Linked DNA regions of Caenorhabditis elegans. The protein of the gene in region 4 purifies or fractionates together with the protein of the main gene of each other region. This does not show direct contact. Each region holds a gene or a part of one and is shown on either strand. Other genes may lie near its edges.

Region 1 (8,579 bases), on a different chromosome or scaffold from region 4:
TTCGAGTGATCATCTTTTTTGAGTTTTCATTTTTGAGATATTCAGAAAAGTTGTAGGTCATTTGAATTTATTGTCTTTCATTTTAAAAATTCATTTAAAAACAAAAATAAAATTTCTGGGCATTTAGTTCGAGTGATCATCTTTTTTGAGTTTTCATTTTTGAGATATTCAGAAAAGTTGTAGGTCATTTGAATTTATTGTCTTTCATTTTAAAAATTCATTTAAAAACAAAAATAAAATTTCTGGGCATTTAGTTCGAGTGATCATCTTTTTTGAGTTTTCATTTTTGAGATATTCAGAAAAGTTGTAGGTCATTTGAATTTATTGTCTTTCATTTTAAAAATTCATTTAAAAACAAAAATAAAATTTCTGGGCATTTAGTTCGAGTGATCATCTTTTTTGAGTTTTCATTTTTGAGATATTCAGAAAAGTTGTAGGTCATTTGAATTTATTGTCTTTCATTTTAAAAATTCATTTAAAAACAAAAATAAAATTTCTGGGCATTTAGTTCGAGTGATCATCTTTTTTGAGTTTTCATTTTTGAGATATTCAGAAAAGTTGTAGGTCATTTGAATCAAATGTCTTTCATTTTTAAAACTTATAAACACACAGTGAAACTGAAAATAATTTTGTTTTTGAAAAGGATTATTTGGAAAGGTGACAAAACTGTTTTGAAAACAATTAATTTTGGCTCAGACGGGTTTAGTTTGCAGGAACTTTGTTAGTTTTCCACTACTGTCTATTCATATAATGAACTGAACAAAAAATCAAAAATGAAAAAGACAATCGATAAAAGGAGCCAGTTTTTATTGAGGAGAATTCCGGATGTTCATATATTTTCTTCCTACTTTCTAATCCATAATTTTTTTGTGCAATTCTACTAAATTCCCGTGATTTCAACTCGCCACATTCTTTGTACCATATATGATGATTGCTTCGTTCACATTACAAAAATCCCCTTTTTTCAATATTTATTCGCCTGGTTTCCCCCGTTTTTCTAGTTGCATCATGAGTTGAAAAATCCTTTCAATTTTTTTTTGAAAATCTGAATGAATTGTGATGAATATGTACAAGCTAATTTTTTATGCAAAACATTTTAAAAAAAACCAAATTAAATCCAAATATCCGATGTACAATCTCCACCGGGATAACGCATCTCGTGAGCCAAATAGGGACCTCCTTCAATTTTTCCAAAATCGATCAAAAAGTCTCGATTTATTTCCATTTTTCCAGATTCTGGATCAATGTTGACTTGAACCATTGTGGCGCCAGATCTGAAAAATGACAGGGTTGCAAACGCGCTCCATTGAGAAAGTAGGACGAATTTGGTGTTTTTTTTTTGAAATTATCATGAATTATTAAGCGGACGAAAAGAAACATTACCAAGTCTCGACGTGACTATTTTTTCAACGGAAAACGTGTGTGCGCCTTTAAAGAGTAGTGTAATTTCAAACTTTCGGTGCTGCAGCTATTGAACTGTTTTATCGATTTCTCATAGTTGTTCTTTTTTTTAAAAATTATTTAGACTAGAAAAACAAAGAAAAACATGAATTCGTGATAAAATCAACTCAGCAAGTGAGAGAGAATCGCTGCAAATATGAAAGATTTTTGAAACGGTGATTTTTTTTCTAAACAATAATTTCACCATGAGCGTATTTTTAGTGTAAACTACAAAATTCGAGATAATTTGTTTCGTAAGGACAAAGGTTCAATGAATAAAATGAATAAAAAAGAATTACATTTCGCGAATAGCCCCACAAGTGAGCGGAAATAGTTTGCTCAAAATATACTACATTTATGAAACGGTAACTTTTTTCTCAGAAATAATTCTAAATTTTTTCATAAGTAGCACTCACTTGACATGTTCTGGATAGAATTGATCATCCCATTTCTTGTATAAAGAAGTTGTAACATAAAGTCTCTTTCCATCCAATGACAACTGTAACATCTGTGGACCTCCTTCAATTTTCCGTCCCTTCACATAAAGTGCTTCAATTGGTTTTTCACCTTCTAGAACTTTTACATTTGATTCCGTATGTACACTTCCTCCAATATAAACTTGAGAATTCAATTTCACCTTCAATGGATCAGAAATGTCATATTGACGAATATCTCCATGAAGCCAACACGAGACATACAGGAAACGATCATCCATTGAGATAAGGATATCAGTTATAAGAGCTGGCATTTCTGGAAGAGCCCATCCACTTACTTTTTTAGAAGGAATGAAGGCAACGAGAGTAGCTGCATGGGTTGTTGAGTTCTGGAATTATTTGAAAAATTGAATGTTTCTCATTCAACGTATCACTGAAGATTTGTTTTCAGTAGTATTCAACAAACATTTGGCAACTATTTTCATACTGACTATCAGAATTTTGAGATTTTACAAGAAAAAAAATACAAAGTGTGTTAAAAGAACACCTCGAGAACAGGAAAGAAGCAACTTTTCTGAAAAACTTTATTTTCAAAAAGAGGTTATCGCGAACTGTCGAAATAAGTGTAGGTATATGCGCTGCCAAAATTATATTAACTTTTTGAAACAGTAAATTTTATGTTTTTTTGTAATTTTGCCTGAAAAGTTGGTGGCCATTCACAAAAAATAAATTTTTTGATCGAGCTTTTTTGTTTCAAGGGCACACTGCTGAAGTGGATATAATTTTATTTAAAACGTAATTTTTGTTTTCAAAAGTTTACACGAAAATCTACTGTTTCAACAAACTCATTTAACATCTCGCTAGAAAATTGTTTTCAATTGAACTGTGGCGTGACTTATCGACTGTTCTAAAAGAGCTTTAAAAATCATGAGACATTTAATGTTTCGATTGGCTGATTAAATGTTTCAAGTTGAACAAGGTGTCAATTTTTTAAAATTATATGTTTCAGATGATCTAGAAAACCCGGTGAGATTTCTAATTGTCACTCGAACTTGATTTCCAGTGAGACTATACTTTGCACAGAAAGGAATTTTTGTTTCGCAGCAATGCAGCAGAAGCAGAGATAATTTTACTTAAATCTGAAATCGGTTTTTTTTTCAAAAATTTAATAAAAAAGTCTATAACTCATTAAACATCTTACTTGAAAATTATTTGATTGCATTGACATTGCTAGAAAAACTAACAAAATCATAAAATTTTTAATGTTTCAATTAGCTGATTAAACGTTTTGGTTTGAATAAAGTTTCACTGAGACTATAATGTCCGCGCTTTAAAATTATTTTTTAGTGTCGAAAAAAAAATATTTTTTCTTTCTTTAATTGACCGAGTTTTCTTGATTCACAGTCACGCAGAAAAAATCGATTTGAACTTTTTGTCAAAACTAAATGCATGCTGCTTTTTAAAAAAAGGTTCATCAAAAATCTACTGTTTCACTAACCTAATTTTAAAAAACTCGGAAAAATACGTTTTTAGTATTTGCATCATTGTTAAACGTTTAATGAATCTATAAACTGATTTAAAAATAAATTATTAAAAACACTCAAAGATATTTTTTAAAAATTATTATATGTTTCAAGTAGTCTATAAATACTGAAACTATTTTGAATTAATATTGGTTCTTCCAAATGAAAAAAAAGAAAAATAGCAGTTTGGTCTACACAACTTTCTCTGAATTTCAAATTCAAATTATGCCCTAATCATGTATGCCAAAGCATTAAAGGATTTGAAATGTACGAAAGCGCTCTGATTTTCTCAAAATGTCCACATTTTTCTCGAAAGTTAGTCATTTTGCCAAAGAACTTGCTCAGAAAACTTCGGGAATGAAAAAAAATCAATTGAATAGAACGGAAGTTTTGATAACAACGTATTGAAACAATTTATTTATTTTTAAACTTGAAAGTTTCTAATGCAATGTTTCGGTGATCCCAGAAAGTTACACATCAGCTTACAACACTGCTATTCAATTACTGACAACGAAAATATCAGTACTATTGATAAATTGTCAACTCCCCCTACGAAGATCATTTATATTTGATTTCATACGTTTTTTTGGATTAGCAAATGAAATAAACTTCCAATAAGATACAATATGATAACCTATTGAAACAGTTTTCTAAAAGTTTTCTAAAAATTCTTTTCAATATTACTCACCTCCTCAACAGGATGAATTCTAAAAACCGGATCTATTTCAATAGATGACAGGAATACCAACAGAACTAAACTAAAAACAACAGAGTGTGTTATGAGGACAAATTGAAACTGAAAAGTTTTTTGAATGTTTCAATGTTTTCGTAAAATCACGGCATTGATCTCCAAAACTGTTTAACCATTTTCAATTGACTGAAACTTTTGAAAAATCAAACACTCTACTGAAGAGTTTTCATGGAATAAAATTTGAGTACTCTGGAAGAAGCAACAGTTTTGGAAACTTTGCTACCTCCCAATCAAGGATGTGCGGCAGTTCTCAAAATTTTCCGAGCTCGGCAAATTAGTTTTACAATAATTTTAATCTTGATTCTATTCTACGGTTTTAACATATTAATCTCAGTTTCTAAACAAATAATAACTTATTGAAACATTTCAATTTTTCTGAAAATTCTATTGAATATTACTCACCTCCTCAACAGGATGAATTCTAAAAATTCCTGATCCAAGAGCACATCCCACAAAAGCGTGCTCACTGGTTGGCTCATGGAGGAATCGAACTTCAAGTGGAAGTGCTCCAAGTGGCTGTGGTAGATCAATTGTTTGAAGATATTTCTTAGAGTCCCATTCGAAAATATGAACACTGTTTCCGTAGAGACCCTCTCCGACGTGAGCTGGAAAATTTCATGTTTTAAAAAAATTTGTAACTTTTTGGTTTTTAGTGATGCTGATGGCTCATGCCGCAAGGAATAATTTTAATTTTTGGTAAAATGAAACAAGAGGTGTTGAAACAGTGATTTTTTAAAAGTATTTTCAGTTTTCCCACCTGGATTAAATCCCTTTTTAATATGATTCGGTGATCCCCATTCCGTAGAAATCATCACATTTCTCCTTGGCTGGTACCAGAAATCATAGTTAAACGGAACAGTCTTCTCGTCAGCTGGCCATGTTCCTTTCGGCTCAAATGTCTTTCCATCCAACAACAAAAAGTTACCAGATGGAGTTCCATTAGCTTCTCCCAAAGTACTAATCATAATATTTCCATCGGCAAGACAATGTGAAGTATGTGGAAATGAAAGGTTTAGAGAATGAAGTTTTGATGGTTCAATTGTATGTTCAAGATAGATTTTACGCTCATTTTCTACGTTGATAATGTAGATACGGTCAGAGTTCAGGCAAGGAACGATCAAATGGGATCTGAAATTATTTAGAAATTATTCTACTGTTTTGGTTTGTTAATGAAAGTTCTCCGATCTAAAAATTTATTGATCTTTCAGTTGACTGAAATGTGAAGTTTGTAAATTCGAATTAAAAAACTGTTTCAAGAAATTGGTTCAAGTCTAACTAAATTTATAAAAATGATCTTCTCGTGAATGTCGCTCTGATCTGATTTTATTACAAAGCTTTTGCATCCGTATCAAGGGTCGTGGAAAAATTTAGGTTTATCAGTTTTTTCTTGAGAAAATCTAAAAATCAGAAAAACAAACAAGGGAGAATCTATAGATTTATCAAATATATGATGATTTTGTTTGAAGAATAAAAAAAAACATGTTATTGTGACCACTTTTTAAAAAAAAAAAGTCGGAAAACCACACTTCAAAAATGAAAATTTAATTAAAAAAATTTTTAAACAAAACTTGATGTTTCGAACAGTTGATTTAATTTTGCCACCTGTACTAATAGAGTAATAGTATCATCCTAAAACAATAAATATTTTAACTAACCTCTTCTCAGTTGGTTTGTCATGACAAGAAGAGCACGCATTCCATCCAGTATGATGGACTTCATCACCAATATGTGGCACATCAACTCGGCTGATCACCTGAAAATATTAATTTTACTGGAAAATGTTATGATTGATCGATCTCTAAATGCTAAAACTACGAGTGGATATCAATATTTTGAAACCGATAATTTTTTCAATTAAATAATAATTTTTAATTTTTACTATACAATCATATATCGTGCAAATCGATTTAAAACTCTTAAGCTTGAGATAACCTTGAAATCAGAGAGATCAAATCAAAGTTTCCTGATTTATTTTTGGCTGATGCAACAGAGATGAAAATTGCAAAATTGCAATTTTATTCCGGTAATTTGAACAATTTTTCTGATATAGAAACAGTTATTTCAAGCTTTATGGACGTGATCTACAAAAGACAATCAAAAAATTAGTTATTCCTAAAACTCAATACGTCTTTTTGAAACAGTATTTTTTTCCTCCAAACAAGAAAAAAAATCAACTTTACAAATAAAATTTACCTGACAAAAAGTGTCACTCTCTGGATTCACATCAACTGTAAAAATGGCATCAGGACCATCAGCTGCATTTGGAGCAGTCACAAATAAAACTTCTTCTCGTGGTCCTTTTATAGCATCAGCTGGAGATGCATATCCTGGACCACCATGACATTTTAAACCACAGTTTGGGGACATTTTGGTTTTTGGGATTTTTGATCTGCAAATATTGACTTTTTTTTAAAATCAAACAATATAATCAAATCAGTAGTATGGATTAAAAAGTTACATACATACAATTTTTTGCTGAATTAAACTATAGCAAAATTAAATTTTTTTCAAGTTTGACACTATTTTTGTAGCTTTGAAAACAAGTTGCACGAAAACTTTTGGGCAAACATTTTTAGCTTCAGAAAAAATTACTTTTTTTGTCACAGCTCTAAAAAGGGGAATGTAAAAATTAAAAAAAAAATACAGCGAAAATTTGTAAGTTAAAAAACTAACGCGGATGTAGCAAAACCAAAAAAAACTGAAAAATGTGAAACTTATAAACACACAGTGAAACTGAAAATAATTTTGTTTTTGAAAAGGATTATTTGGAAAGGTGACAAAACTGTTTTGAAAACAATTAATTTTGGCTCAGACGGGTTTAGTTTGCAGGAACTTTGTCAGTTTTCCACTACTCTCTATTTATATAACGAACTGAACACAAAAATCAAAAATGAAAAAGACAATCGACAACAGAAGGGGATGACATTGATAAGGTATCACTAGCTGTTCTATGTCTTATCTCTAGCAGTCATCAAGATGATTGTTCAATGAACCAACTAGAAATCTACTAGAAACACGTAGGAAATTATTCTGATACAAACTACAAGTACCGTTTCTGGTTGAGATTAATTTTTGAATTTAGAGATGAATTTGTGAACATTGTGTGACTGATTCAAAGTGCACAGATATTTTGATAACATTTTTTTTTAATTTTGGAAAACCGATCTGACTACAAAACGTGAATTTATTTGAAATTGAAAATAGTGAGTTTTTTCGTTTTTAATTTATCTTCTGATACTAGGCTTAACAGAAAAATAATAAACAATTATTCAGGGTTGTGCGCGCGACAAATTCCAAAATTTGAAGGACAAAATTATTGATGAAGATGGGATCAACTGTAAATTATTGAAAATCTCCATGAGGATTCCTTGAAACAGTAAAAAAATGTATCGCGAATATAGCAAATTTTTAGAAAAACTCAGCTTGGGTTAATTAAATTTGCAAATTTCTTATTACGTTTTCCACTAATAAAAAGGTTTAAACAACAATTTTATTTATTTTTTATTTATTTTAGGTGCTGCAAACGGCAAACGGCAAATGTCACTCGCTAAAAAAAATTGGTCGACGATGAAAAAAAAACTTTCGGCGTCTTTCAGCATGCGAAATTTTTTTTATTTTTATTTTTTTTTTATTATTGGAAATATAAACAAATTTGAATATTAAGTTGTTCATATTTCCTCATGAGAACAGTCATTCAAATCCACCTTAAGCATAAAAATCTCCACAAATATATGGGGAAATTACAGTTAATATTGCTACATGTTAATACTGTTACAATACTAATAGAAAACTCATACCAATAGTAAAATGAGGCATGTTATCAATCTTTCATTTGAATTTTATTGGATTTTCACATTGCTTCTCATTGTATTATATAAAATTTATTGAAACGCCTAATGAAGTTTTAGTGAAATAGTTAAACATTTTTTTGCAAACTTTAAGCAAACGTAAGCCGTTAATAGCTTAACTGTTAACTGGTGCAATTTTGCTTAAATTTGCAGTTTTGAAGTTTTTCTACAATCGGTAAATTTATTCACATTTCAAGTTAGTCTCGATTTGAAATGCAAGTTGAGCGCTTTTAATATGTTTTTTTCACATAAAATTTAATATTGGGGTTTTTTTCAATTTTTCCGATTTTTTAAAAACAATCAATTTTCAAAATTTCTAAGTCAAAATTTCTAATCAAGACAAATTTGGTTACAATTTTTTAAAACATTTTTTGCAAAAATTTTGGCACGGTGAAGTACGGTGTTTCAAAAAAAAGTATACAAAACAGTGAAGCAAGCAAAAGTCTGTGAATTAGACAGAAATGAAAATTTAAAAATACATAAAACTGAAGCGCAACGGTGGGAAATTTGTAAACCGCCTAATAAAAATGTATTGAAACACTGCAACATACAGTGCGTCCAACTTCTATAGCACCCCCCTCTA
Region 2 (5,849 bases), 1.2 Mb from region 4:
TTTTTGGTTATTTGTTAATTTAAAATGAGCTTATATAATCACATAAATATTTTTAAAAATTAATTTGGCAAATGGAAATTTTCTAAAAAAAAATGAATGAATTTTATACGACCTATGAGTTTTTATGAGTTTTGGAACGACTCCCAGACTTTGTTAGGCACGTTTGTATTTCAATGAACTTGTTCTTAAAAAATTTATTACGCGCATCTAGTCTGAAACTATGTGCACACCAGTAGGCCAGTAGGCAGATATCGGGTTGAAAACAGCGAGGAAGGCTGTCGGGTGAACTTGTCCGCCTGATTTGGACTACTTTTTTTTTAAAGCAGAGCTAGAGAAATTATAATAAAATTCAAGAAAAATGTATAGACCTAACAAATGGGAAATCAAGCGTCGGAAAAATTTAAGAAACCACTATTGATGAAACCCATAGCAAAGATTTTTGCGGCAAGGAAGCATAGAATTTAAAAAAAAATTTAAAAACTACTTCTAAACTAGAATACTTTTCCCATTAATATGAGTGGTTGAATCTTGATTAAATATGTGACATATAAGTCACCACAAAATTGAGCAAATACTCAAAACTACTTAATAGTTTTGTGAGTCACTTTTATAAACGTTCAAAACTTTCTTCAAAAATAATTTTCAAGTTCACCTATGTACCTTTAATATTTTCTAATTTACAAAAATCTAAACGAATATAAAAATGGATTAAACTTACATTTTGTTCTTCCACTGATTGACTTGGCATTTTCTTGAGCAACTTCTTTTTTCAGTAAAACAAATTTCAGATATGTGTGCTTAACTTTCAAAAGATATATCCTTGACTGTCTCCTTATTTTTTGAGCAATTTTGATAAGTTTAGCCAAAAAGTAAGTGGGCGCTCATTTTCGCGACAATCTTTGCTGTCTGCGTCTCTTCGTCTCACGTGCAATTTCGCTGTTCAAATATAAAACAATGCACACACATACAGAAAGGCTATTTTTGACAGGGAGCTCAAGTAAAATGGAGAAAAGCGAAGTTGTTCGGAAATTTTTTGAAATTCAAAAACCTAATGTCAACTTGTAAATACAACTGGGTGGTCAATGTTCAATAACAAACAGAGGGATATTTTGATTTTTGAATTGTGTTGGAATTTCAAAGAACGAAAACCATTTTACCAATTCAGATATTAACAGGAAAGTATGTAAAGAATATTTTCGAAGTCCATATTGACAGTTGATAACTGTTGACGTGGGTGAACCTGACCAAGCACATACATCCGCAAAGTTGGGACGGACGGGCTCTACGGAGTCCAAGTGACAACAATATCTACTTTCTAGACACAACATGACACTCTAAAAAAATCTGCTCAAATAAATTGAAGTTGGCAGAAAAAAAAAAATTTTACAGAAAAATGTTGTCAGAAAGTTGCAAAAGTTTGATAACATACTCACAAACCTTTTTCAAACAGGAATTTCATTAGATTCAGTATTACATTTTAAAATTAAACTCTCCAGATTTCCATGCATCTGCTGCGAAAGTAAATTACAGATTCTGAAAGCCGAAGATTTTAGCTCTCGCGCCAGGTTAAGTTTTATTTCATTCACATCTTATAGTTATCGTATTCCCGAGCAACGTGTTTATTTTCAATTAAACCTAAAAACTCCTTTTAAAATCAAACTTCAATTAGACATTCACTTGTTCTTATCAGCGGAAAAAGTTCAAAAACCTGGCTCTATCGACAGAAGTGAACTTTTCCATGAAAAATAGGCAATAACTTTAAAAACATAGCAGGTGGAGGGTGTAAAGGTTTTATGATTGGCGTATCAAACATTCAGAGCATCGAAAAAGATAATAACATGCACATTAGGCAATTGATTTCTGACGACGATCACACCGAACAATGTGTGGTATATTTGGGATTGTTGCCGCTGGAAATTATGAGCATTTGAATGTTCTTGCTGCAAATGGATTGGCTGCTCTTCAACACAGGTGGGGTTTTAAGTTTAAATTTTTAATAAGCTCTGTCTCAAAAAGTTTGATTTCATACATCTCCTACATTGGTTTCAGTTTGAATTTTTAACTGTTCAGCTCCTCATTCCTAAATATCTAATTTTTCAAAAAGCTCTCGTTTTCTCTTCCCGTTCATTCCGCTTCTGCTTAACTTAAGCCATCGTTCCACAAGAAGGCAAAAGTGTAAACTCCCTAATTGTATCCGAGCCAGTTTAGTCTGACTAGACGTCAATGGAGAAGTTATCAATTTTGCGTCAGAAATACGCTGAATCGCCAACATTAGAATCACGTTGCCAATTGGATGAAAATGACGCGTATGTAGAGATTGAACTGGCGTCTCGTGGGTCACAGCAAACAGCGCTAACCACTCGGACACACGACCAATAAAGTGCTTGTAGCGTTGCAGTGGTTGACATTGTTGCAAACAAGTAGATTGTGCAGTGATTTTGAGTTTGCAAAAAATCGAAATAGCTAAATGAATAAGTCTAGCATTTCTTGCAAATATTGTCTAGTTTCTAAATTGTTTTCCGTGCGTGATAGAAAAATAAAATACTAAAACAAATTAGTTGCAAATTTGCAATTCTTATCATGTATATTTTGCAGAGGAACTGAATCAACAGGACTCGTTGGTTCAGATGGAATCACTCGAGACCACGTGGAAATTATCAAAGGTCATGGACTTGTCCGAGATGTGATTACTGAAGATAATATCTCAAGAATGAATGGGCAATCGATAATAATTGGTCATAATAGGTATTCAACTGCAGGAAAGAAGAAGTCTGGAATCAATTGTGTACAACCATTTGTGGTATATACTGCAATGGGTACTGTAGCAATTGCTCATAATGGAGAATTGGTTGATGCGAAACAAAAAAGAAAGGAAGTACTTCATGAAGGTGTTGGTTTATCAACTGACACTGACTCAGAGCTTATTGCTCAAATGATTGCAAAAGCGATTGCTCTGAATGTAAAATGCAAGTATGGACAAGAGATGGGTGATATTACAAGAGTGAGTTTTTGAAAAACATGAAAATTCTTAAACCAAAAAACTTCAGGAGCTCGCAGTAACAATGTCTGCACTAAACATGTCATATTCTCTACTAGTAATGACATTTGATAGACTATACGCAATTCGTGATCCATTTGGAAATCGTCCACTTTGTGTTGGTACTGTATATTCTAAAAATGGAAATCCAGAAGCATTCATTGCATCTTCTGAATCTTGTGCATTTCCTGCAAATGCTAAATTAGATTTCGAAGTGAGACCAGGAGAAATTGTGGAATTATCGACAGGAGGAATCAAGTCGGTGTGGCAGGTAAACTTACATATATCTTGGCCTGCCTACGCGCCTACCTACCGCCTTCTCTGACCTCATTTTCTCATGTATGTATTTTGTTAGACATTAAAATTTAAAAAAGTGTTTTTAAAGTTTTGCAAATACATGTAGTTTTTAGACTTTCTGGTTATTTTTGGTATTTTCCAAAATTACAATCGAGACAGATGGGCTATGCTGAAAAATCAGAAACCTGGAATTATATGAGTCATTTCAGATGAAACCGAATACTCCTCTGGCTATGTGCATATTCGAATATGTCTATTTTGCACGAAATGATTCAGAAATTGAAGGACAACAAGTACAAACTGTTCGTGAAGAATGTGGAAAAACGATGGCTCTTGAAGATGATCTAGAAGCAGATATTGTTGGAAATGTTCCAGATTCTTCGCTGAGTGCAGCAATTGGATACGCTTCTCAGTCTGGAATCACATATGAACCTGTTTTACACAGAAATTCATATGTTGGAAGATCATTTATAGAACCAAATGATGAGATGAGACAAAATGCGATTAAAATGAAATTTGGTAAAATAAAGAAAACTATTTAGAAAGACTTCATGAATTCTATTTCAGGAGTATTGAAGAAAAAGATTCATGGACAAAGGATTGTGTTAGTAGATGATTCAATTGTACGTGGAAATACGATGAGAACTTTGGTAAAAATGTTAAGAGATGCTGGAGCAAAAGAGGTATTACCCTTGTTGTTAAAAATAATGATTTTTCACCTTATAAACCGTGAAAAAGGTCTTGACACGAGCAAAAATTTTCAGCTACCGTATAACGCGAGTAATTCTCCGTTTTTGCAGATTTTTCCAATACATATATTTGTTGTAAAACTGTGCATCTAGATGTTCAGCAAATATTAAGAAAACAATAGCGGAATACATAAAAACGAGAAACTGGAGTATACGGTAGAGTACGGTATCTTAGAAATTTCGATCGTGTCAAGACCGCATTATTCAAATAATACCTCTAAATTTAAAGGTTCATCTACGAATTGCTTCCCCGCCTGTAAAATTCCCATGTTTTATGGGAATCAACATTCCAACCACAAAGGAATTGATTGCTGCCGAAAAAACAATTCCAGAAATCTGCCAATTTGTTGGAGCCGATTCAGTACGGTATCTTTCGGTTGACGGTTTAGTTTCGGTGAGTTTGAACCTCACTTTCTCCTCAATTTAATTTTTTTTCAGTCTGTTCAAAAAGGAATCGAACGAGCTGCCAACTTCTCTCCAGGACATTGCACCGCATGTCTCACTGGAAAATATCCAGTTGCTATCGATTTATAATTAGTGTTTGAAAAGTTTGAATAGATTATTTGTATTCATGAAAAACAAAATCAATTCAATTAAAAATCAACAATGAATGTGTATAAAAATAAGAACAACAACAGTTTGCGGAAAAAAAATAAAATGATTAACAACAGAAATCAGGACGCTTACAAGCTCTTCTTCTTTCCACGAGATCTCAATGTTTTCTTTTCGACAGCAGCTGGACGGGCACTTGCAGCGACGGATTTGAGGATTGTCTGGAAAATTAATATAACCAAATTTTATTTAAAGTTTTTCGTACGTTGGATAGCGTAGATTTAGCCTGTGGAGTAGCAGCAGCAGCTGCCTTCTTTCCTGCGCGAGTTTTTGGAGTGAACTGTTTGGGTTCCGGCTTTTCAGTTTTAGGAGTCTTGATGACAACCTTTTTGGTGACTGGAGTGGAAACTTTCGGAGTTGCTTGTTTTGGAGTCACGGCCTTTGGAGTAGCTGCTTTTGGAGTTGCAGCTTTCACAATTTTCGGAGTCGTGCTTTTCGGGGTGACATCACTGATAAATTGAACCTCATTGTCAATGACCTTCTTAAGTGGCGTTCTTGGTGTTCCAGACACAGAGAAATCATAGTTGATCCCCATATTCTGCAGCTTCTTCAAAGTTTTGTTGAGATTTTGCACGCGTTTCTTGGCATTGATGACGTCATTTTTTCCGGTGGTATTGTTTCTGGCAATTGTATCTTTTTTAGCGATGCCCAAGTAAGATGGACGCATCACAAGCAGTGGGCCATGGCGCATTGCCTTCGGGATAAGTTCTGGTTTCATCACCTAAATTTAATAAGTTTTTCAAGGATATAATGGTAGAAGTTGACCTACCGTGCACCCGAGACGTTGCTCGAACATCAAGTAACCGTTCATTGATTCGGCAGCGATTTCAGCAACAGCCTTGTTGTCGAATCCAACGTACGCCCATCCCTTATGATTACCAGTCTAAAATAATGATTTAATACTATATTAACAGGTTGCTGAACCTACGCGTCTGTTTCTGGCCACACGAATTCTCAACACATTTCCGAACTGACGGAAATACCCGAGCAACTCCTTCTCGAAGAATCCAAACGGAATACGCTTAATCTTGACAACATAAATTTTCTTCAGCTGCTTTTTTTGGACTTTGTCTTGCTTCTGAGGTTGCTTGCGTCCTCCAGAACTGATCGAAGTTGGATTCTGGGCAACCATTGTGTCTGAGATCTGAAAAATG
Region 3 (3,846 bases), on a different chromosome or scaffold from region 4:
CGATCCAAAAAGTCCACCTCCAAGCCTGAAAATTCAATTTTAGATGCATCGAAAGCTCTAAAACCAACGTCGGAGCCGCCGATGTGGTCGATTTCGCGCCAAAAAGACCTCCAGTAGCCGGGGCAGTACTTCCGAACAGACTTCCAGTCGCCGGAGCAGCCGTTGATGCTCCAAAGAGCCCACCAGTCGGCGCGGGAGCTGCTGTGGTGGCTGTCTTGGCTCCGAAAAGTCCTCCAGATGGTGATGCGGTGGTTGTTGTCGAACCGAATAGTGGAACTGAAGACGTTGAAGCAGGTGTAGGAGCAGTTGTTGAGCCGAAAAGTCCTGCAGAAGCTGGTGCAGGAGCTGTCTGAGATGCTCCAAAGAGCCCTGATGACATGGCAGCAGCAGGCGCACCGAAGAGGCCTCCAGGCTTTGGAGCAGCAGCAGCCGTTGAGCCAAAAAGAGGTGTTGTTGAAGCAGCTGGAGCCGTGGTACTTGTACCGAAAAGCGACATTTCTGGAAAATTAAATTTTTATGGAGAAGAAAGAAAAGAAATTGGGAAATTATTGATTTTTAGACATTTTCTATTCAAAAACAGAGGTTTTTGATGGTTTTTCCTTCGGGAATTCGAATTTTCGAAGCGAAAATCACTTTTTTTTTTTGACAATTTCGCTCAGAAATCACAGAAAACACTTTTTAACAGAAAAAGTGATTTTTCATGAATTTTGAGATGCTTATCCAGATTTTAATGGAGAAAAAACGGTGGGGATTCGAAAATTGCCAAAGAAACGTTTTTAGCATCCAACATTCGATTTCCGATGAAAAATTATCAAAAATCACGAATTATTCAGGCTAAAATTGAGTTTTAGGGCATTTATCCCACGTGTCTATGAGAAAATTTTGAAAAGTCAATTTTAGCACAGAAAAATTCATCAAAATCGACATTTCTTAGAGAAAAATATCTGAAAATCAATTTTTGGAAAAAAAATAAACAAAAATATAAGTAAAAAGAGCTGGAAAACTCGAGAAATTGGAAATAAATCATTTTTAAAAACGAAGAAATCGGTTTATATGCAAACTACAAGACAAACGACAGGGTGGAAAACGAGAAAACGGGGAAAAATCAACAAAAATTCAAAAAAAAAAACGAGAGAAATTATTACAAGGAGGCGAGCGAATTGCGGTGAGCCGTGTATGCCTCCTTATTCTTCTCGTTGACACCCTCCACGTTGCGTGCCATCTCGATTGCCAGGTAGATGATCTGTAATTAATTATCGATCGATTTTGTATGGGAAAATGAGGGATGAGGGGTTTTTGGCTGGAAATTGAAGTTTTCCCAAAAATTTAAGCTAAAAACTGCAATTTCCAGCAACAAATCATGCCGAAAATCACAAAATCTGAGTTTTCTAGCTAAAAACTGGGCTAAAAACGCAAAAACTGCAATTTCTAGCTACAAATCATGCTGAAAATCACAAAAATTTCCAATTTGGGTCCCACTAACTCTTGGAACAACCACAGTATTTTCCGGACTGTAAGCCTTCGAAGCATGAATTCTCATCAGTGTTCCCATTGAATAATCGTCGACGATATCCTTGAATTGCTCACAAAACTCGCGCCATGTCTCCTTGGCTCCGCCGTCTTTCAGCAAACTCGTCGTCACCTCCTCCACATTCAAATCGGGGAATGAGCTTCGAAATGCGGCGAGAATCGCATCCTGATGCTTGTTGAGCCGAAGAACCCGAGTGTCACACCGCATTATCAGATTCATGTGAACTTCGGACCGTTCGCCGGCTTTGATCGCCCAAGCCATCTCGATCGATTCGTCGTTGACGTATTTATCAGCATCTCCGTAGTCAGTCATTTTGTTACCTGAAAATTTGGAAAATTAGAGAGAAAATTGACTTGAAACAGGAGAATTAGAAGAAAATCATGTAAAAATCTGCAAAAATTGCAAAAATCCAAGTTTTTCAACAAAATTTGCGGAATTAAATTACATTTCTATAATCCTACACACTTAAATAACATTTTAAAGTGAAAATTACGCATGAAAACTCTGAAAAAAGCCTGAAAATCTCTAAAAATTGCGAAATAAATTCGAATATTTTTTAAATTCTCCAAACTCCGCCCATTTGCAACTGCCGCACGGCGTTTTGCCATCCCCGCGCGCGCAGTGGGGATTCGATAATTAATGGAATAAAACCGATTTTAAATGCAAATTATAGCAAAAACAAACAATTTTTCAATATAATTTAACAAAAAAATAGCAAAAAACAAATTTAACATCATTCTTCTTCCCAATTTCCAACCAAAAGATTCCGAATATTCATTCCATGTAAGGCTGCGAGCGCGGCGACCTGCTCAGCCATTCTTAAATTCGGTTGTCCAATTCCTGATCGATATTTCTTGTCACCAATACACGCCGTCGCCACGAATCGCTTATCATCTCGTTTTACGACCTCATACGTGGCTTTTGGGATCTTCGTCTCCACACAATAGTCGTGAAGCACCATTTTGGGCGTTGGCGAGAAGCCGACCGAGTTTTTCAGGCGTTTTCTGCAGAAAATTAATGGTTTTTTGTTTAGGAGGAATTCTTACAATGGAAATGAGACTTCAATATTATAAACACCGTCATCGTCAACACGAGCTCGCTTCTTACTCTGTTTCTTCTTTCGTTCATCTCGCCATTTCTGAAAATTTCCAATTTTTCCGTAATTTTTTGTGTAATTTTCGAGCAAAAAGTTGCAGAACAGTGGGAAAAATCCAATTTTCGACGCTAAAATTGCTGTTTTACGTTTTTTTTTCAACTGAAAAGCTGAATAATTCTTTGAAAATCAATTTTTGTTCGATTTCCGGCATATTTTCTGGGTGAAAATTGAATTTTAGGGCAAAAAATGACTGGAAAAGTCAATTTAAGCCACGAAAATTGGATTTTGGATTTTCCATTGAAAATACATGAAAATATTGTTTTTCTTTTAACTTTTTGTGATTTTCATCAAATTTTTCAAATAAAATTGGATTTTCAAGTGAATTTTTGTGATTTTCAATGTGTTTTCCACACATTTTCAGTGCGAAAATTGCCGGATTTTCAGATATAATCCCGTACATCATATACATCCTCCATTCCAAACGCTTTACAAATCTGCAGTACACTTCCGGCGGCAACCGTCGCCTTTCCACGTGGATCATATTCCTGATCGGCGCCCAGAATCCGTTGAACAACGTATTTTGTCATAGTGTAAGACTCGTCGTATTGGCACGCGAGTTCCAGAAAATTTCGAATATCTTCGTATTTATCTAAACATCCTTCCCGACGGAAAATTGACGGAGTTGAGAGGGCTTTTCTGGCAATCATTGTACTACTTGTCTCGGTTAACAGCTGATATTTCTCAAAATCTGAATATTGCTCGATTTCGTCGGAGAGACCGCTGAAAAATGTATATATTAATTGTTTAATTGATTTTTGCGATGTTTTCTATTACGGGCAAGGGTGTCGGTTTTTCGATTTTCCTATTTTTCGCAAAAAATTTAGATTTTTCAAATATTAGCTTAATATTTTGCCATTATTCTTCTTTTTAGAAGAAATTTGTATGTTTTTTTCTTACAAATATAAGCAAAATTATATAAAAAAGTCATATTTTATGGTTAATTTTTTGAAATTATTTTTCGATTTTACAGAGTATCGAAAAATCGAAAAAATTTCGATTTTCGATTTTTCAATTTTCACTGAAAAAATTACGGGAGCACAAAAACTCTGAGAATGCGTAATGCGCAACATATCTGACGCGCAAAATATCTTCTACAGTAATCCTTTGGATGACTACTGCAGTTTTCGCTATGAGATACTTTGCGCGTCAAATATGTTGC
Region 4 (4,136 bases):
CATTTCCAATTCGAATCCGATTCCGTACCAGTTTTGAATAATTCGAGTAAATCATAAAATTGTCCATGAATATCTCCACAAATTGTGACAGGCGACGAAACGGGCACCACATTGGCTTCCAGTGATAGACGATCGATTAATCTGAAAAAATGTTCAGTTTTTGAGCCGAAAATTGCTGAAAATTGCTTTTTTCTTACGTTGCACAAAGAGCAACAGCGTCAGATTCGGGCAAGTATTTGCATTCGCTCGCCCACGTAATCCATTGCTCCGGCTCTATTTTTCGAGATCTGGAAATGAAAAAAATTAAGTTTTGTATAATTTTGGAGCTGAAATTTAAGTTTTTTTTTAGAAATTTGCAAAAAAATTCGAAATTTTTCGCAGAATTTTTCAATTTTGAGTAAAAAAAATCAATTTCCAAGCTCAAATCGCCTAATGTAGATTTACGCAGCTCGTGTACTCCCCGAGGAGAAAAATACTAGTTTTCGACTAAAATGCTAGATTTTACATTTTCGCTGTTTTTTAAAAGTTTAACGTTCAAATCGCCGATTTTTCGCTTTTTTGGTAATTTTTATGCTGAAATTCAGCATTTTTAATATGGAAAACTGCTGGAAACGATGATTTGTAGTCGATTTTCATTTAAAATAATTAAAATGACAATTTTAATGTTAAATTGGTCAAAAATTGAGCATTTTCTCCAAAAACTATAAAAATCTTCTCCTCGAGGAGTACACGAGCTGCGTAAATCGACACAAAGCGATTTGTGCTTGGAAAATCGCATTTTTCGCTTGAAATATCCAAAATTTGGTACCCAATAAAATGCGTTGTGCTCTTTTCGAGCTCTCCTTCATCGCACACTGTCACCCGAAGAAGGTTTGTGTCGATCATTCTGAAAATTTTACGGTTTTAAATGAAAAAGAAGCTTTTTTCCTGTTTAAAATTAAAAAATATATGAAAAATGGCTGAAAACCTATCGAAAAAGTGGAAAAAAGGGAATTGAAACTCAAAAATTGTTCATTCGAATCCTATAAAACGGCGGGAAAAAGTGATTGGAGTGTGATGAAATAACGGAAAAAACAGAAAAACAATAAAAATTACTAGCTATTCAAAAAAAAACTACAAAAAACCGGAAAAACATTAAAAAACCAGAGGAAAATTAAAAGAAAATTATTTAGAGACGACTCCAACTTGAGCAGGCCGAATTGGACGTTCTTTCAGGCTGTAGCCGATCTTTGTACACACTTCGATATGTCCGACAGGTTGTTTGGCCTGAAAATGGAGGAAATTAAGCATTTTGTGGCATTTAAAAAGGATTAAATAAGCCCAAATTGTTCAAAAAATACAAGATTTGGCTCTTTTATTTCGGAAAATTCGGGCGGTTAGCACTAACATTAGCAGATGGAATCTGGAAAACGGCTTCGTGGAGATTGGGGTCGAACTTTTCATTGGTTGGATCCACGGTCACAAGGCCATGCTTTGCGAATGTCTTTGCCATGACAGTACGGGTCATTGAAACTCCTTCGAAAAGATCTTTCAGAGCTTTTCCTCCCGATTCCAGATCTTCTGGCTTCACAGACTTGACGGCAATGTCGAGAATATCGGAGACCTGCAAATTTGGAATTATTTTAATTGTTTTTCGGTTGATTTTGATTTTAAAAATCGAACCTCAAGTAAATCTTTGCAGAATGATTGGATTGCAAAAACCTTAGCATCGTCGGTTTGCTTGATACCTCGCCGACGAACATTTTCAGTTTCAGCAAGCGATCTTTGATATTTATCCTTAAAATCCAAGCTTTCGGCCTGCAAATCGTCGTATTCCTTGAGAAGAACATCAAAAGCACCCTTTGGAATCTGTGTCTTGTCCTCGCCGGCAATCGAAGTAAGAACAATTTCTTCATAGTCGGCTCCTGGTTTTTTTTTAAATATTATATCAGTTTTTAGAATTTAGAATTTGTTTTAGAGTAAAAATCGCTACCTCTGAGTCTCTTTCCGTCTTTTCTAATCTCATAATTGACTTCTTCCGATGATTGTGATGCCGTGGCGCTGAATCTTTGAATGCGCAAGTTTTTCTGAGTTTTCCTGCAATGAAAAAATTTGATTTTCACCGTTATTCAAAATTCAAGGAACTTACAGCGTTTGTTGAACAGCCTGGCCGACGAAAGACACTCCTTTGCGCAGCATATTGTCTGAAATTGCCAAAATTTGAAGAAATTAGGAATAAAAAACGAAAAATCGGCGGAAATTGGTAAAAAACGAAGAAAAAATTAATAAATTTCATCATGACAAGAAATGCGCCAGCACATGACTCAAGTGCGCCAGTAACGTGCTGGCGTGATTTTCGTGCGTGTCTGCGTCTCCATGCTTTGCACACTCTTTTCGAGGAGTTTTTAAGCGGCAATTTAAAGTGGAAAAGGGCAAACTGTAGCAGTTTTTTCTTAACTTTTTCTGCAAAAATCTGTGTATTTCCGCAAAAAAACACAGCAAATCCAACAAAAAATTTATTATCAATGCTCTAAAAGCCTTAAACACAAAAAAACCAAGATTTGTCACTTCTTATGTTCGCGTTCTCCATCAAAATCTGGTCGCTTCGGTACAAATCGATATTTGACAATTTTCGAATCATCTTTTCCATCAGTCACAGGTTCCAGGTGAGCTTTCGCGAAATGCGGTGATGTGACTGGAAATCTGGAGCATCCTCTGAACGTGACGCTTTCTCTGGATTTCACGTAACTCGGCGCATGTCGGCGCTGACCTTTCCATTCTGGGGGACGCTGAAAAAAAAGTATGTATTATTGCAAGTGCGCTCCAGTAAACTGAGCGATTCCGGCTGTCACTCACTCTTAAGGCATTCAAAGCACCCGGACTTGGAATTGCATATCGAGCTGGCTGGGCTATTGGTTTTGGCACATATCTCGGAGCACTTGTGCTGGTAGATCCACTGGAAGAGCTGCTGATTGGCTCAACACGAGATCTGTAAAGAGTTGAGGAGATATCCGGCATGTCAAAATGATCTGATTTCTTCGAATTTTCGGGCGGTGCAGAGCTTCCGGTGGTTGAAGAACTACTTTGAACTTCTTTTGAATCAAATATATTGTGAAGTGCTGTGGCAATGTCGGGCATCTGCAATAATTTTCCATTTTTGCCAGTTTCATATTCAAATTACCGCCAAGAGACTTTGTTCAATAGAGCGCGCTTGCATTATTTTAATTTTTGTTTTTTTTTTCTCATCAATTCTCTGAACTTCTTCATTTTTTGTGAATTTTCACTGAAAATTTGAATGAAAAGTCAAGATAAATGCAAATTGTTCATTAGCTTTTCAAATTTTCAGTAAAAATACACAAAACATGAAGGAATTCAGTGAAATAATTAGGACAAAAAAACAAAAACAAAAAATAATGCAAGCGCGCCCCATCGAACAAATCGTCTTGGCGGATTTTTTCATTTTCAAAAGTTTTTTATTGAAAAAACCTTAAAATTTGACTTTTTTTTCCTGAAAAATTGAAAAAATCGATACTGACAGATTGGCAAAATTTCGCGGAATTTTAAGTAAATTTTTTAGCAATTTTTTTCGTTATAACTAACAGGAGATTTCTGGCTTCCGAGAGCTCCATTATCTTTCTTTTCTGACTCAAATCCTCCAATTGTACTCGAAGAACTATTCATTTCGTCCGATTCCACCACCACGTGAGATTTGTAAGGCGTTGAGGAAATATCCGGCATGTCAAAATGGGCTGATTTCTTCGAATTTTCAGGAGTTGCAGAGCTTCCAGTCTTCAAAAACGAGCTCATTCCTTCTGACTGAGCTTTGTAAGAGGCTGAGGTGAAGCCTTCTGGCTTGATATAGCGAAATTCTGGTCTCTTAATATATCCTGGAATAAGCTTCAAGTTCCTGGAGTTACTTTCCGAGCTAAAATTGAATGGTTTTCCTGAATTCACCACATATCTAACTTCTCCAGTGTTCAGCTGATCCGAAATTTGTGTTCGGCCTGGAGGGCCTGGAGATGCTGTGATGGGCTTTCTGGAGCTGCTGCTGGTGCTTTCAAAATAGAACGGCTTCCCATAGCACGCAGAACTTGTGCTGGGCTGATCAGGCTTCAGATATTTCGCTAGAGGACTTCCGAAGTCACTTGAATCTTCCC

The links.
Region 1: the proteins of C34C12.8 (region 4) and semo-1 fractionate together in Caenorhabditis elegans (co-fractionation; one large-scale study listed by BioGRID). This does not show direct contact.
Region 2: the proteins of C34C12.8 (region 4) and ppat-1 fractionate together in Caenorhabditis elegans (co-fractionation; one large-scale study listed by BioGRID). This does not show direct contact.
Region 3: the proteins of C34C12.8 (region 4) and Y54E5A.5 fractionate together in Caenorhabditis elegans (co-fractionation; one large-scale study listed by BioGRID). This does not show direct contact.

What each region holds. Positions count from the first base shown.
Region 1 is NC_003282.8:14,049,158-14,057,736, reverse strand, and holds semo-1 (Methanethiol oxidase), read right to left. Parts: upstream 6,538-8,579; 5' UTR 6,516-6,537; coding exon 6,342-6,515; intron 6,243-6,341; exon of another isoform or gene 6,222-6,242; intron 5,944-6,221; exon of another isoform or gene 5,923-5,943; intron 5,902-5,922; coding exon 5,804-5,901; intron 5,789-5,803; exon of another isoform or gene 5,768-5,788; intron 5,742-5,767; exon of another isoform or gene 5,720-5,741; intron 5,463-5,719; exon of another isoform or gene 5,442-5,462; intron 5,370-5,441; exon of another isoform or gene 5,345-5,369; intron 5,277-5,344; coding exon 4,906-5,276; intron 4,829-4,905; exon of another isoform or gene 4,808-4,828; intron 4,754-4,807; coding exon 4,551-4,753; exon of another isoform or gene 4,086-4,550; intron 4,001-4,085; exon of another isoform or gene 3,976-4,000; intron 3,913-3,975; exon of another isoform or gene 3,892-3,912; intron 3,766-3,891; exon of another isoform or gene 3,745-3,765; intron 3,569-3,744; exon of another isoform or gene 3,547-3,568; intron 3,429-3,546; exon of another isoform or gene 3,408-3,428; intron 3,243-3,407; exon of another isoform or gene 3,222-3,242; intron 3,205-3,221; exon of another isoform or gene 3,184-3,204; intron 2,942-3,183; exon of another isoform or gene 2,921-2,941; and 20 more.
Region 2 is NC_003281.10:4,687,463-4,693,311, forward strand, and holds ppat-1 (Amidophosphoribosyltransferase), read left to right. Parts: upstream 1-1,817; 5' UTR 1,818-1,882; coding exon 1,883-1,971; intron 1,972-2,171; exon of another isoform or gene 2,172-2,309; intron 2,310-2,595; coding exon 2,596-3,001; intron 3,002-3,047; coding exon 3,048-3,308; intron 3,309-3,543; coding exon 3,544-3,853; intron 3,854-3,901; coding exon 3,902-4,017; intron 4,018-4,312; coding exon 4,313-4,477; intron 4,478-4,521; coding exon 4,522-4,617; 3' UTR 4,618-4,709; downstream 4,710-5,849. Other genes in the region: tag-243 (Costars domain-containing protein), read right to left, coding at 719-748; nifk-1 (RRM domain-containing protein), read right to left, coding at 4,767-4,856, 4,901-5,416, 5,465-5,578, 5,624-5,827.
Region 3 is NC_003279.8:14,706,025-14,709,870, forward strand, and holds Y54E5A.5 (Polysaccharide biosynthesis domain-containing protein), read right to left. Parts: upstream 1,852-3,846; 5' UTR 1,844-1,851; coding exon 1,484-1,843; intron 1,244-1,483; coding exon 1,142-1,243; 3' UTR 1,035-1,141; downstream 1-1,034. Other genes in the region: npp-4 (Nucleoporin p58/p45), read right to left, coding at 1-25, 69-496; dus-2 (DRBM domain-containing protein), read right to left, coding at 2,265-2,535, 2,578-2,669, 3,086-3,407.
Region 4 is NC_003281.10:3,458,453-3,462,588, reverse strand, and holds C34C12.8 (GrpE protein homolog, mitochondrial), read right to left. Parts: upstream 2,184-4,136; 5' UTR 2,179-2,183; coding exon 2,129-2,178; intron 2,077-2,128; coding exon 1,973-2,076; intron 1,905-1,972; coding exon 1,663-1,904; intron 1,604-1,662; coding exon 1,388-1,603; intron 1,267-1,387; coding exon 1,165-1,266; 3' UTR 999-1,164; downstream 1-998. Other genes in the region: pph-6 (Serine/threonine-protein phosphatase 6 catalytic subunit), read right to left, coding at 29-141, 198-287, 809-885; C34C12.2 (Fibronectin type-III domain-containing protein), read right to left, coding at 2,544-2,768, 2,836-3,117, 3,580-4,136. UniProt on the Caenorhabditis elegans protein: Essential component of the PAM complex, a complex required for the translocation of transit peptide-containing proteins from the inner membrane into the mitochondrial matrix in an ATP-dependent manner.